3 linked regions of the Ovis aries genome follow. The protein of the gene in region 1 interacts with the protein of each later gene in a biochemical or structural test. Links are inferred from orthologs where the notes say so. Each region holds a gene or a part of one and is shown in the gene's direction. Other genes may lie near its edges.

Region 1 (3,643 bases):
TTCTGAAGTCCTCCTGCACTGTCTGGGCTATGTCTGCTGGTGCTGGAGAAGAACTCTTCTGAACATCCTCAGGAGCAGTTTCTTCCAATACTGGCTCAGACTTTTCCTCCTGGACTTCAGATACAGGTTCCTGCTCTGGTCCTGGTTCCGGTTCAGGCTCTGGTTCAGCAACAGCTTCTTCTAAATGTTCTTCTAAGTCATTGCTGACAGTTTGATCATAAAAAGTTCCAGAATCATCAGGTACCACCTCAGGTGTCTGCTGTCTTTCTTCAGGCTCCTCTACTTCTTCTTCAGATTCCTCCTGAGGTTCAGTGATGAAGCCACCAAAGACTTCATCTTGGTATCTGAAGATATCGTTGTGAACATAGAACTTATTTGCAACAGAGCCCTCAGGAGCAAGGACAAAGGTCTGCATGAATCTCCTTAAAGCCTGGTTGTTATTAGAGAGCAAGCCCATCACCTGGACCACCACACCGTCATTCAGAGTAGCATGAGCATCAACGTGGCGGATCTTAGTGTGGCAATTGGTGAAGTTTTGTGACATCACTTTCCTGTGGATTTCTTTCTGTCCATAGACGGCATCTGCTGGCTTTCCGTTTGAATCCAATCCCCCATGGACATAAGAAGAGTTCTTTCCATAAAACCTGTGTAGCATGTCTGGGGCCTGGTTCAACAGTGTATAATACTGTCTCACAAATTCCCGCCCGACCAGCAGGGGACTAGGCTTCTCCATAACCATTGCTTTGGTCAATTCAGCCTCATCGGGGCGTTTCAGGAGTAAAGAAGAAACACAAGTTGCTCCGCACAGTGCCTGGCACATAGTGAGGGCTTAGAAAAATGTTAGTTATTATCATCACTCAATACCCATGAACTCGCTGCCCCTTTACTCCCTGTAAAAAAATTCGAAAACCTAGGAGCAGCATTTCGGCTTCCAGTGTCGAAAAATTCTCACCGCACTTCCGTGCCTCACCTCCCCCCTCCCGCACCACCACCACCATCAAAGAAAAGCCTCCTCTGGTCTAGGAGGAGCCCCCACCAAAGGAGGAAGGCCTCGCTAGCGCGCGGGGAAAGCGAACGGGAAAAGCTGACGATCCGGCCGCGCGGGGCCCCAGGCCCCCAAGATCACCCTGAGGCCCGGGCGGCGGCCGCGGCTCGCCCCCGCCCCGCGTGGCCGTTGGGCGCGGCACGCGCACGCGGCGGACGCGGACACGGCCACGCGCGCCGGGCCAGTGGGGGCGGGAGGCGGAGAGTCGCCGCGCGCCCGTGCCCTCCTTTTTCTGTTTTAAAGCAGTGTATTTGCAGCTAGTGTTTAGCTCTACAGATAACTGTGTGTTGATGTTCTTAGGACTACAGACGAGAAAGACCTACTTAGATCAGAATTTTAAATTAGTAAGGTTTTCTTTTTGGCCCACAAGGAAGCTATTACTAAAATGTGAAGTCAAGCCGCTGGGAAAGCTGATCTGCCTGGGAGGGCTGCTGGGCTTTGCCGTCTCGATCACCGTGGTCTTCCCTCCCTCCCTCCCTCACGTGTTTCCCTGCCTCCCACAGCCCCGCTGGGACTCTACTTCTCCAGGGACGCTTACTGGGAGAAGCTATACGTGGACCAGCCAGCCGGCACGCCCCTGCTCTATGTCCACGCCCTGCGGGATGTGCCGGAGGAGGTGCCCAGCTTCCGCCTGGGCCAGCACCTCTATGGCGCCTACCGCACGCGGCTGCACGAGAACGACTGGGTCCGCATCCAGGAGGACACGGGGCTTCTCTACCTTAACCAGAGCCTGGACCACAGCTCCTGGGAGAAGCTCAACATCCGCAGTAAGGGGGGGCCCTGACCCCACCCCCACACGCCTCACTGCCCACGCCCTGCCCTGCCCTCTCCTTGTCCCTCCTCAGCGCCCATCACACAGTTCCTAGGGAGTGAGGTGGGGCTGTCCTCTTTGTTCAGCCCGTGAGGGAGCCAGGATGAGCTTGAGGACCACTGAGGACCCTCAGGCCTTCTGAGGCTGTTGGGATTTTGGAGAACTTATGTGTAGGACTTGAGGGGCTCACTCCGTGCTGGCTCCAAATGTCTTTTCTAGTTGGATTAACAGAGATGTGGGGTTGTGAGAGAAGAGTTAAGAAAGGCTAGAAAAGTCCCAAGATGTTGATTTAGCGGATGGTCTGGAACTTGGTGGAGAAGCAGCTGTTTGCACGGAGAACCCACCTTGCCGTCAGCAGCAGGCTGTCCTTGGCACCTGGTGAGGACTGGGGCCTGGTGCCAGGGAGGAAAGTGGACAGGAGGAAGGCCTGGCCGGCTGCTCAGAGCAGGGGTCCAAGCTGGAGCGAAGCCCACGTGCAGCCCTGGCACTGGGAGGAGGGTGTTTGTGGAGCAGAGTGCTGCCTTGCGGCACCAAATGGTGATCACAGCCCCACCTCCTGCTCCACAGACGGGGCCTCCCTGGACCCTCACGCCAGCCCTGAACTCCTGTGAGTGCTGAGAGCCAGGCACTGTGCTGTGAACAGTACTGCCAGAGTGGAATTTGCCGAGGGTCTGAGTTTCATAGGAGGCGTGTTCTGTCCTCATGCACCTGCCAGCTCTAGTCAGGAGAGAAATCATGGTAATTAGAACAGAGAAAGTTTACATGGAGAATTATTAACCACAGCAGGGAACTGGAGCAACAGAGGACAGGCTAGGGAGAAGCAAGGACTGATGAATATGGGAGGAGCAGATGTGAGGCGGGGACACTTCCCTAGGGCTGAGATAGAAGGCCCAGGAAGAGCCCCTGCCCCAGCTGAGATCCAGACGGGTTGGAGGGGTTTGCTATAGTGCCTCCATGATGGAACTTGCCAGAAATCCCCTCTCGAGGTGCTGGGGAAGTCTGTGTCTCTGCAGGGGTGGCATGGTATTCCCTGGGTCCAGTGGTTAGGACTCTGCACGTTCATTGTTGAGGTCCTGGGTTCAGTCCCTGGTCAGGGGACTAAGATCCCACAAGCAGCAGCACGGGCAAAAATAGAATAGAATAAGTGTTTTATTTCTATTTATTTTTAATTGAGGGATAATTACTTTACAATATTGTGTTGGCTTCTGCCATACATCACAATGAATCAGCCACAGGTATACATACGTCCCCTCCCTCCTGAAACTCTCTCCCACCTGCCACCCAATCCCACCCCTGTAGTGTTTTTAAAAGTGAGAAAAGAAAGAAAGTGCCTGGGGCAGTGGGTGAGGGAGAGAAGGGAGGTCGCCTGAGGTGCCAAGAGCCCTCCTTGGGGAAGGGCTCCATCTTAGACCCAGGGCTCAGGGCACCTCTCTGAGGAAGGGTATTTGAACTGAAACTCAGAATAACCAGAGAGGTGGGCCTGTGAGGCACCCCCAGACAAGGGAGCAGAGCCTCAGGGCCCTGAGGCTGCCAGATCCCAAGTCCAGGGCCGTAGCGGGGCAAGCAGGAGGTGGAGGCCAGGGCGGGGTGCCCAGCAGAGCCCTGCAGGCCTTGGTGAGAACTAGGCTTTGCACCAGCCCCGAGCTTCTGCCCTCTCCCCATTCAGGTCCCAGCTAGGCAGGTGTGGCTGACGCCCCGGTGGGGCCTGACTTGTCTCTCTGCAGACGGCGGCTTCCCACTGCTTACCGTCTATCTCCGGGTCTTCCTGTCACCCGCGTCCCTTCGTG
Region 2 (3,643 bases), on another chromosome or scaffold:
CGTTTTAACATCTTTCTCTCATTGTTCCCCACATCTGAGCTCATCAGCAGTTCTTTTAGTGGCCCCTCCAAATAGACCTCAATTTCTCATTTCCCATCTCTGCTACCAGCACCTTGTCAAAACCATCATCAGGCCTTAGCTGTGTTTATGTGACAGCATCTGTGTAAACTCCCTGCTTCTCCACTTACCTCCCCCTCCCCAGTCAATCCTCTCAACACAGGATAATTTTTTGGGGGGTGGGGGGGCGCCTCACCATGCAGCTTGTGGGATCTTAGCTCTTCAATCAGGGATTCAACCCAGGGCCATGGCAGTGAAAGTGCTGAGTCCTAACCTCTGGACCGCCAGGGAATTCCCAGAATAATCTCTTAAAAATATAAATCAGGTTATGTCACTTCAGTGCTTACAATCCTCCAGTGACTGCCCTGGCATCTTTGGTAAAGTCCGCTCTCCACACCAGGGCCTTCCAGGCTCCAGGGCCCCTGCTGCCTTCCCCAGTCTCTCCTCACCCTTCTCTCCTCCGGGCCAGGGGCCAGGCCCCTGCAGTCTCAGCTCCACCCACTGCAGACCCTTGTTCTTACTCTTTACCAGTTTTTTGAACATCTGGCCCCTTCTGATCCTTCAGGCTTCAGCTTAAACATCCCCTCTGCCAGAAGCTTCCTTGACCACCTTTCTAAAAAAGAACTTCCTTTTTCTTTCTCATCACAGCACCCTTTTTCCCCTTCACAGTGTAGTTTCCCTGCTCATTCACCTATTTATCATTTGTACCCAAAACCAGAATGTAAGGTCCATGAGGACAGGACCTTGTCTAGCTTATTCCCCGCTGCACCCTCAGCACCTCACGTAGTCTCCCACCTAGCTGATCTTTAGTGGGATTGAATTTGTTGGGTGAACACATACAGCAAAATATTTTTATGACTTTTACATACTGTGTAAAATTCTAAGTTCCTTGTTCTGATATCCAAGGTCCCAACAGCCTTTTCTCTGCCATCCCTGTGCTCTAGAACATTTCTTAATACTCTCTCACACTTGACATCCTGGTTATTTGTGCTCTGCTACTATGTCAGTGCACTCCTGTTATCTGTATCCTTAAGACCCAGCTCCTTACCCACCTTCACCACTTGCCACATTAAGACTTCTCTTTAGGAATGAAAAGCCAGCACAAAGGTACTTGCTTAATTTCAAATACACTTTCCCCAATCACTTTAGTCAGAAATGAGGACCAACTGCCTTCTGTTGTATTAGCTGTGAACGTGTGAAAGTCTCCTAGCGCTGATCTACAGTAACTACTCAGTGGCTGCTTGTTGACTGAGTACGCAGATGAATGAACCAGTCACACAAGTGCTGCACCATCTCACAGCCTCCCTCACCGTGGAGTTTTTCTTCTTGCTCTACCCCAACAGGTCTTCTGCTCCCCAGAGCCACCTGCCAAGACCTCTACCCCTGAAGATTTCATCCGCATGACCAAGGGTATCACCATGGCAACCGCCAAGGCCGTTGCCGCTGGGAACTCCTGTCGCCAGGAGGATGTCATCGCCACAGCCAATCTGAGTCGCCGTGCTATTGCAGATATGCTCCGGGCTTGCAAGGTAGAAATCCCGGCGGTGAGGCAGGAGTGTAAGGCAGCTTGAGGGCAGCACATGGTAGGGGAGAACCTGCAGGGACTTGGGAGCTCTTTGGGATCCTAAGGCTAATGTATACTCTGTGCTACAGGAAGCCGCCTACCACCCGGAAGTGGCTCCAGACGTGCGGCTCCGAGCCCTACACTTTGGCCAGGAATGTGCCAATGGCTACCTGGAACTGCTGGACCACGTGCTGCTGGTAAGGCGGGAGGTGTCTGTTCCTCACAGCGGCCTCCCTGAATACACAGGCCTCAGGCCTGCACTCTAATCTTTGGTTCAGATCTCCTCCCCACCCCCCATCTGTTCCCCGAGTATGTTCTTGTTTCCACATCTCCCTTCCTCTGGAGCTCCATCAGTTTGAGCATCTTTGGTTCTCCTACTCACCTCCTCCTCTTTCTCTTGTCTCCTCTCTTCCCGCCTGCCCTCTCCCTCCTCTACCTCCTCATCTCTTCTTTCTTCTCATTTCATCCTTCTCCTGGCTCCTTGTCAGCTGGTGAGTGACACATAGCCTCACTGTCTTCACCATGCATGCAATGTGATGTCTGGCGTGCTCCTGGATAGACTGTGTACTGTTTCAGGCTGTGGTGTGGAGAGGCCTGGGGTAGGGGTGGCGGGAGGGGGCGGGCTCTCCCCTGTTTCAAGGGTCAAGGTAGAAGCTGAGATCTGATGCTCTCTGCCCCCTGCCCCCTCTTCCCCAGACCCTGCAGAAGCCAAGCCCAGAATTGAAGCAGCAATTGACAGTGCACTCAAAGCGTGTGGCTGGATCAGTCACTGAACTCATCCAGGCTGCTGAGGCCATGAAGGGTAAGGGGTGACCAGGGGCAGGGAGGGAAGGGAAACCCTTGTTCTGGGGAGAACTCTGCTTCAGGGAGGCTGCTCAGAGATGGCCTCTGCAGAGTCTTCACAGATGCCAGGGCCTGGTGACAGTAAGCACACTGCCCGGTGCTCCTGATCTCCCTTAGCCCCTTCCCTCCTTGCTTTGTCCACCAGGAACAGAATGGGTGGACCCAGAGGACCCCACAGTCATTGCTGAGAATGAACTCCTGGGAGCCGCGGCCGCCATTGAGGCTGCGGCCAAGAAGCTGGAGCAGCTGAAGCCCCGGGCCAAACCCAAGGTCAGCCCTGCTCCCTTCTTCTCCCCTCCGCTCAGAGTGTCTGCACCTTCAGCCTCCCCTTACCCTGCATCTCTCTCTGCCACTTCTGTCTCTTTTTTGCAGGAGGCGGACGAGTCCTTGAACTTTGAGGAGCAGATACTGGAAGCTGCCAAGTCCATCGCAGCAGCCACCAGTGCCCTGGTGAAGGCTGCCTCAGCTGCGCAGAGGGAACTGGTGGCCCAGGGGAAGGTAAGGACTTGAATACCAGCAGCTTTGCCTTCCACATGGCATGATGGTCTCCTCCGGGAGGCTCTCAGGAGGGCACAAGTCTCAGCAGACTCCTGCCCTCCTCCACAGGTGGGCGCCATTCCAGCCAACGCACTGGATGATGGACAGTGGTCCCAGGGCCTCATCTCTGCTGTGAGTGTACAACTGCCCCTGTGCCCCTCTGCACTTCAGGGACTTGAGAGGCTGGAGAGGGGATGGACCAGGGCAGGAGGCATGTTCTAACCTAATCTCCCTGCTTCAGGCCCGGATGGTGGCCGCGGCCACCAACAACCTGTGTGAGGCGGCCAATGCAGCTGTCCAAGGCCACGCCAGCCAGGAGAAGCTCATCTCATCGGCCAAGCAGGTCGCCGCCTCCACAGCCCAGCTCCTCGTAGCCTGCAAGGTCAAGGCCGACCAGGACTCTGAGGCAATGAAGAGGCTTCAGGTGAGGCCCCCTGGCCCATCTCATGTGCCTTGAGCTGAGCTGCTTTCAACTGTCACCCCTGACATGCTTTCTGCGAGGGAGATGGGGGCCTTGCTCAGCTGGGACCTTCCCAAGTTCTCATCTCACACTGCCTGCTCTCTCTCTCTGCCAAGGCTGCCGGCAACGCAGTGAAGCGAGCCTCAGACAACCTGGTGAAGGCAGCCCAGAAGGCTGCAGCC
Region 3 (4,127 bases), on another chromosome or scaffold:
TGTTACAAGTTAACATCTCATTTAACCCTCAGGACATTACTCGTAGGCGGGCTTATTAGCCTATTGCAAAGCTAAGGACGTTGAGGCCCGTTGGTATACAGAAAATAAACAGGGCCTCCCACTCCACGCGCGCTCCGGGGCGGGTACGCAGATAGGGAAACTGTGGCTACGAGGGGTCAAGGCTCCAGACTCCGCCAGCGGCGGGCGGACGCTGAAGCCCAGGTTCCCCGGTCCCACGCGGAACCGCCGCCCAAGGCACAGCCAGTGCAGCAGCCGCTCCTCAGGCTTCTCCGTCCAGTCTTCCCGCTGCGCCCGGGACGGGGAATGGGGCCGCACAGTTTCAACTTGAGTTTCAAAGAATTCGCTTGCAAATTGCCTTCCAGGAGAGGTCTGATGTGTGTTTCGAGGGCGCTCCAGGCTGGGTGGTCGCGGTTCTACGTCCGCGAGTCCCAAGAGCGGGACCAGGGGTCCGGGCGCCCACGCCCAGCTGCCGGCTTCCAGTCCCCCGTGCCAGCCCCCGGCAGCAGCGACCTGCGGGAGCGCCCGGCCCCGCGCCCGGCGCCGCACCCCGCCGGCTCCCCGAGCTCCCTCCGCGACCCGCCCTGCGCCCAGGCCGCGGCCCTGCCCGCGCTGGCGGCCCCGAGCGGTCCGGGCTGCGGTGGCAGCAGCGGCGGCGGCGGGAGGAGGAGCAGGAAAAGCGACCGGGGGAGGAGGCGGAGGCGGCGGAGGCGGAGGCGGCGGCGGCGGCGGCGGCGGCGGGCGGGGCCGGGCGGGTTTAAAGCCCATCGAGGGGGTGGGGAGGCCGGGAGGCGGCAGGAAGGAGCGCGAGCGGCGCGCCGCGGCGGGCGGGCGCTCGGAAGCCGCGGAGCCAAAGTTTGCGCGCGGTCCCCGGGCGGCGGCACGCGGGGGTCGGGACCGCCCTGCGCGCCGCCCTTGCCCCGCGGGACCCGCGCCGCCCCGGCCGCGCCGAGGGGCGCGGGCGGCCAGGCGGAGGCGGCAGCGAACGGCGCCGTGGCAGGTAGGGAGTTGGGCGGCGAGCGAGGCGCCAAGTTACTTTGTGGCCGGCGGGCGGGCGGGCTGCAGTCCCGGCGTCATTGTCTGCGCGCGGGCCGCCCGGGCCGGGGACGCCGGGCGCCGCGGGGGCGCGGCGGGCGGAAGGGCGTCGCCTCGGGCCGGGGGCTGCGGCGCGCGAGGGCGGGGACCGGGCGCGGCGCTCGGCGTCGGCGACCCCGCGGAGCCGGGGAGCCCGGGCGGCGCCCTCTGGAGCCCTCCTGTCCGACGCCGGCGGCTCACTGGCCGGGCCGGGGTGGGGGCTGCGCCGCCGGGCGGTCGGGGCCAAGGCCGCGCTCCCGGATCGCCTGGAGGGTGGGCGCCGCGCGCCCCTGCAGCCCCCGGTGCGCCCGTGCTCGCGCGGTGGGGCCGGACCCTCAGGAGCTGGAGCGAGCCAGATCCTGGGATCTTTCCCTTTGGTTCTGCTGGCGACCCGTTTCCCCTCCCCCGGGGCCTAACCCCAAGTCGAGGGTTCGCGGGTTAGCGGCCCGCCAGCCGGGGAAATGTGATAAGAGCTGTGCGGTTCTCCGAAGGCGATTCTGATGCAACTCTCGGCCTCCGGATCGCCTCTCCCCGCGCCTGCCTGAGGACGGCCCTGGAGCATGTGCGTTATGGAAATGAGACATTCTCTACTTTTTATTGTGTTTTTCTTGTCTTGGGGTTGGAAGACACGCCAAGTTTCTGTCATTTGCCTCGGTGAGACGGTGGGTCACGTAGGGAAGCCACAGGTGACTTTGCCCGGGCCCGGATCTTTCTGATGCATTCGTTGGAGAGAAAGCTTTCTTGCAAATGTTGTCCCCAGCTTCATTCAAGAGATGCGGAGAAAAGACCCAAACAAGTAGCGCTAGTGAGTAAACACGCGTTGTTGCACAACTTGCTCTTTGCTGCTGTTTACAAGGCCTAACCCAGAACACTTTGTTTCTGGAAATGCTGATTCAGCGGTTCGGAGCCCCCGAGTTTCCAAAGTGGTGCTTTCTCTAACGTTTCGCTCAGTTTTACTAAGAACACATGTTAACACAGCAACAGGCGTTGACTAGGGTTTACAGCACCAAGTCGGACGTTTTTCATGAGTTGACTCGCTGATTCCTTCGTTCTTTCCAGGAGGAAAAATAGATAGGTTCTAGGTTTCTGTGGCAAAAGAAGTTCTGACTTCTGGCGATGGTGGTGTCTTTTAGGTTAAGTATTTTGTTAGGAAAAAAGCTCTGAAACCGAAGTGTTTCCAGGAATGATTCTAGATGACTAGGTTTTCCGGTTAAGAATCAGAATTCTAGGATTATTGCATATAATATTTGAGTTTTACTGGAAACATTTGAAAGAGATGGCCACACAGGCCAACCCCCAGGTCTCGGGGAGGGAATTTGAGGACAGTCACACACCCAGCAACTGAGAAGTAACTGAGAAGTGCAGCAAGGGATACTTGTGTGGCATTTCACTGTCTATGGCACACGTTCAAAGCCTGATTACTTTTAATCCTCTGCAGCCTCCTGCTCCCCATTTTACAGGTTTGGAAATTGAGGCTTGGGCTTTCAGGTGGCGCTAGTGGTAAAGAACCCACCAAGTAATGCAGGAGATGGATATAAGAGACTCAGGTTTGGCCCCTGATTCAGGAAGATCCCTTGGAGTAGGAAATGGCAGCCCAGTCCTGTATTCTTGCCTAGAGAATCCCATGGACCAAGGAGGTGGGCTAGTCCGTGGGGTGGCAAAGAATCAGACACGCACAAACCCAGGCTCAGGAGGTTAACAAATGCATGTCCGATCACATGGCTGGCAAATGCCAAAGCTGTCACCAGATCCTAAGCTTTGGGTTCTTTTTTTTGTTTGTTTTTTCCCAGTTGTCTGTGGTTCATGCTTCTGTGCATCTGAAAGAGAAATGGCCTAGGAGCGTCCCTGGGCTGGTCAGACACCCGGAGAACCGGCAGACTCTGTTCCCATTCCCGTGGCTCCTGGATACCTGCCCTATCACTAGGCTATTATCAGTGTTTTCTTTTCTCCGCTCACTTTTTGTGCTTAGATACGAATTTGTTTTGGAAGGAAATTTTGATACCACAGAGTCATGAGTCTGATATGGTGGTTATGTTTACTGTAATAAGAACTGTGTTTTAATAAAAGCTGTGCCCCGCTAAAATCATCTAGAGCGTATTGCCTGTGGTGTGTGTAGCTTTTGGACTGGGCAAAATGCCTTTCATTGTGGACTAGGAACCTGGAGCTGGGCAGATTCATGCCAGGGCTTGTAGCGTGGTAGCTGCCAGGATCGGAACCTGGACAGCCCTGGCCCAGTCACAGTGACCATCTCTGTGGCCACTGAGCCTCAAACAGGAGAGGGGAACAAAGCCAGACTCTTGAACTTTTGATTTGGATGATGAGGCTGTTCTAAGTCTTGACAATGTATAGAAACCAAGCTCCTGCATGAACAAAGACATCCGCTGTGCCTTTACCTTCCTCTTACAGCTTTAGAAATTCTAGGTTGGTATAGCTGATAAAAGTTTCAAGATGACATAGTTTAAGGAACTTATTTCCTTGGAATTCGGTCCAACTCTTAACCGCTGGTGAAAAGAGCCACGCGTGGTGGTGGGCTGGTCCGCCTGTCGGAACTCTGACACTGACTGTAGCGAGTTCTGTCCTGCTTCGTGGGAGGAAGTGTGTGTGTTCACGGCTTGGGGTGTGATGCCTTTGTCAGTTTCTCATGCTGTCAAACCAACGTGGAATCATGTGGATCTATAAAGAGAAAACATTTGTTTTGCTTTTCATGTATGTAGTCAGTCATATGTTCATAATTTCACTAAAACTTTTTCTGCTTGTTGAGACTTTATTTCACCTGTCTTTATCTTTTGCTTAACTGGGCGTTTGGGAGATTAAGGAAGATGTTAGAACAGACAAGTGACTTGGTGGGCAAATGGGTGCTTTGGGGACCTGGGAACCGTCAACAAGGTCTTTGTACCAACGGGTGTAAAACTGATCGCACCCGTTCAGGCGCTGGCTGGCTTTTACATTGTGTTACTACTTCATGGCACGTTTCTGGGGAGCTGTCTGTTCTCCCACCTTCTCTGTTTGGTGTCCGTGCTCCTGATGATCGTGTC

What was found.
Region 2: the proteins of RET (region 1) and TLN1 interact in a surface display test, tested with the Homo sapiens proteins (2 studies listed by BioGRID and IntAct, with this or other methods). The link is inferred for Ovis aries from reciprocal best matches to the Homo sapiens genes RET and TLN1.
Region 3: the proteins of RET (region 1) and GRB10 form a complex in vitro, tested with the Homo sapiens proteins (2 studies listed by BioGRID). The link is inferred for Ovis aries from reciprocal best matches to the Homo sapiens genes RET and GRB10.

What each region holds. Positions count from the first base shown.
Region 1 is NC_056078.1:12,821,117-12,824,759, forward strand, and holds part of RET (proto-oncogene tyrosine-protein kinase receptor Ret), read left to right. Parts: coding exon of another isoform or gene 1-820; exon of another isoform or gene 821-1,189; intron 1,190-1,548; coding exon 1,549-1,812; intron 1,813-3,580; coding exon 3,581-3,643. Other genes in the region: ras GTPase-activating protein-binding protein 1-like, read right to left, coding at 1-820. UniProt on the Homo sapiens protein: Receptor tyrosine-protein kinase involved in numerous cellular mechanisms including cell proliferation, neuronal navigation, cell migration, and cell differentiation in response to glia cell line-derived growth family factors (GDNF, NRTN, ARTN, PSPN and GDF15).
Region 2 is NC_056055.1:52,839,062-52,842,704, forward strand, and holds part of TLN1 (talin-1), read left to right. Parts: intron 1-1,400; coding exon 1,401-1,586; intron 1,587-1,710; coding exon 1,711-1,818; intron 1,819-2,317; coding exon 2,318-2,423; intron 2,424-2,609; coding exon 2,610-2,734; intron 2,735-2,836; coding exon 2,837-2,962; intron 2,963-3,070; coding exon 3,071-3,133; intron 3,134-3,242; coding exon 3,243-3,425; intron 3,426-3,577; coding exon 3,578-3,643. UniProt on the Homo sapiens protein: High molecular weight cytoskeletal protein concentrated at regions of cell-matrix and cell-cell contacts. Involved in connections of major cytoskeletal structures to the plasma membrane.
Region 3 is NC_056057.1:5,911,223-5,915,349, forward strand, and holds the start of GRB10 (growth factor receptor-bound protein 10), read left to right. Parts: upstream 1-1,225; 5' UTR 1,226-1,654; exon of another isoform or gene 1,655-1,897; intron 1,898-4,127.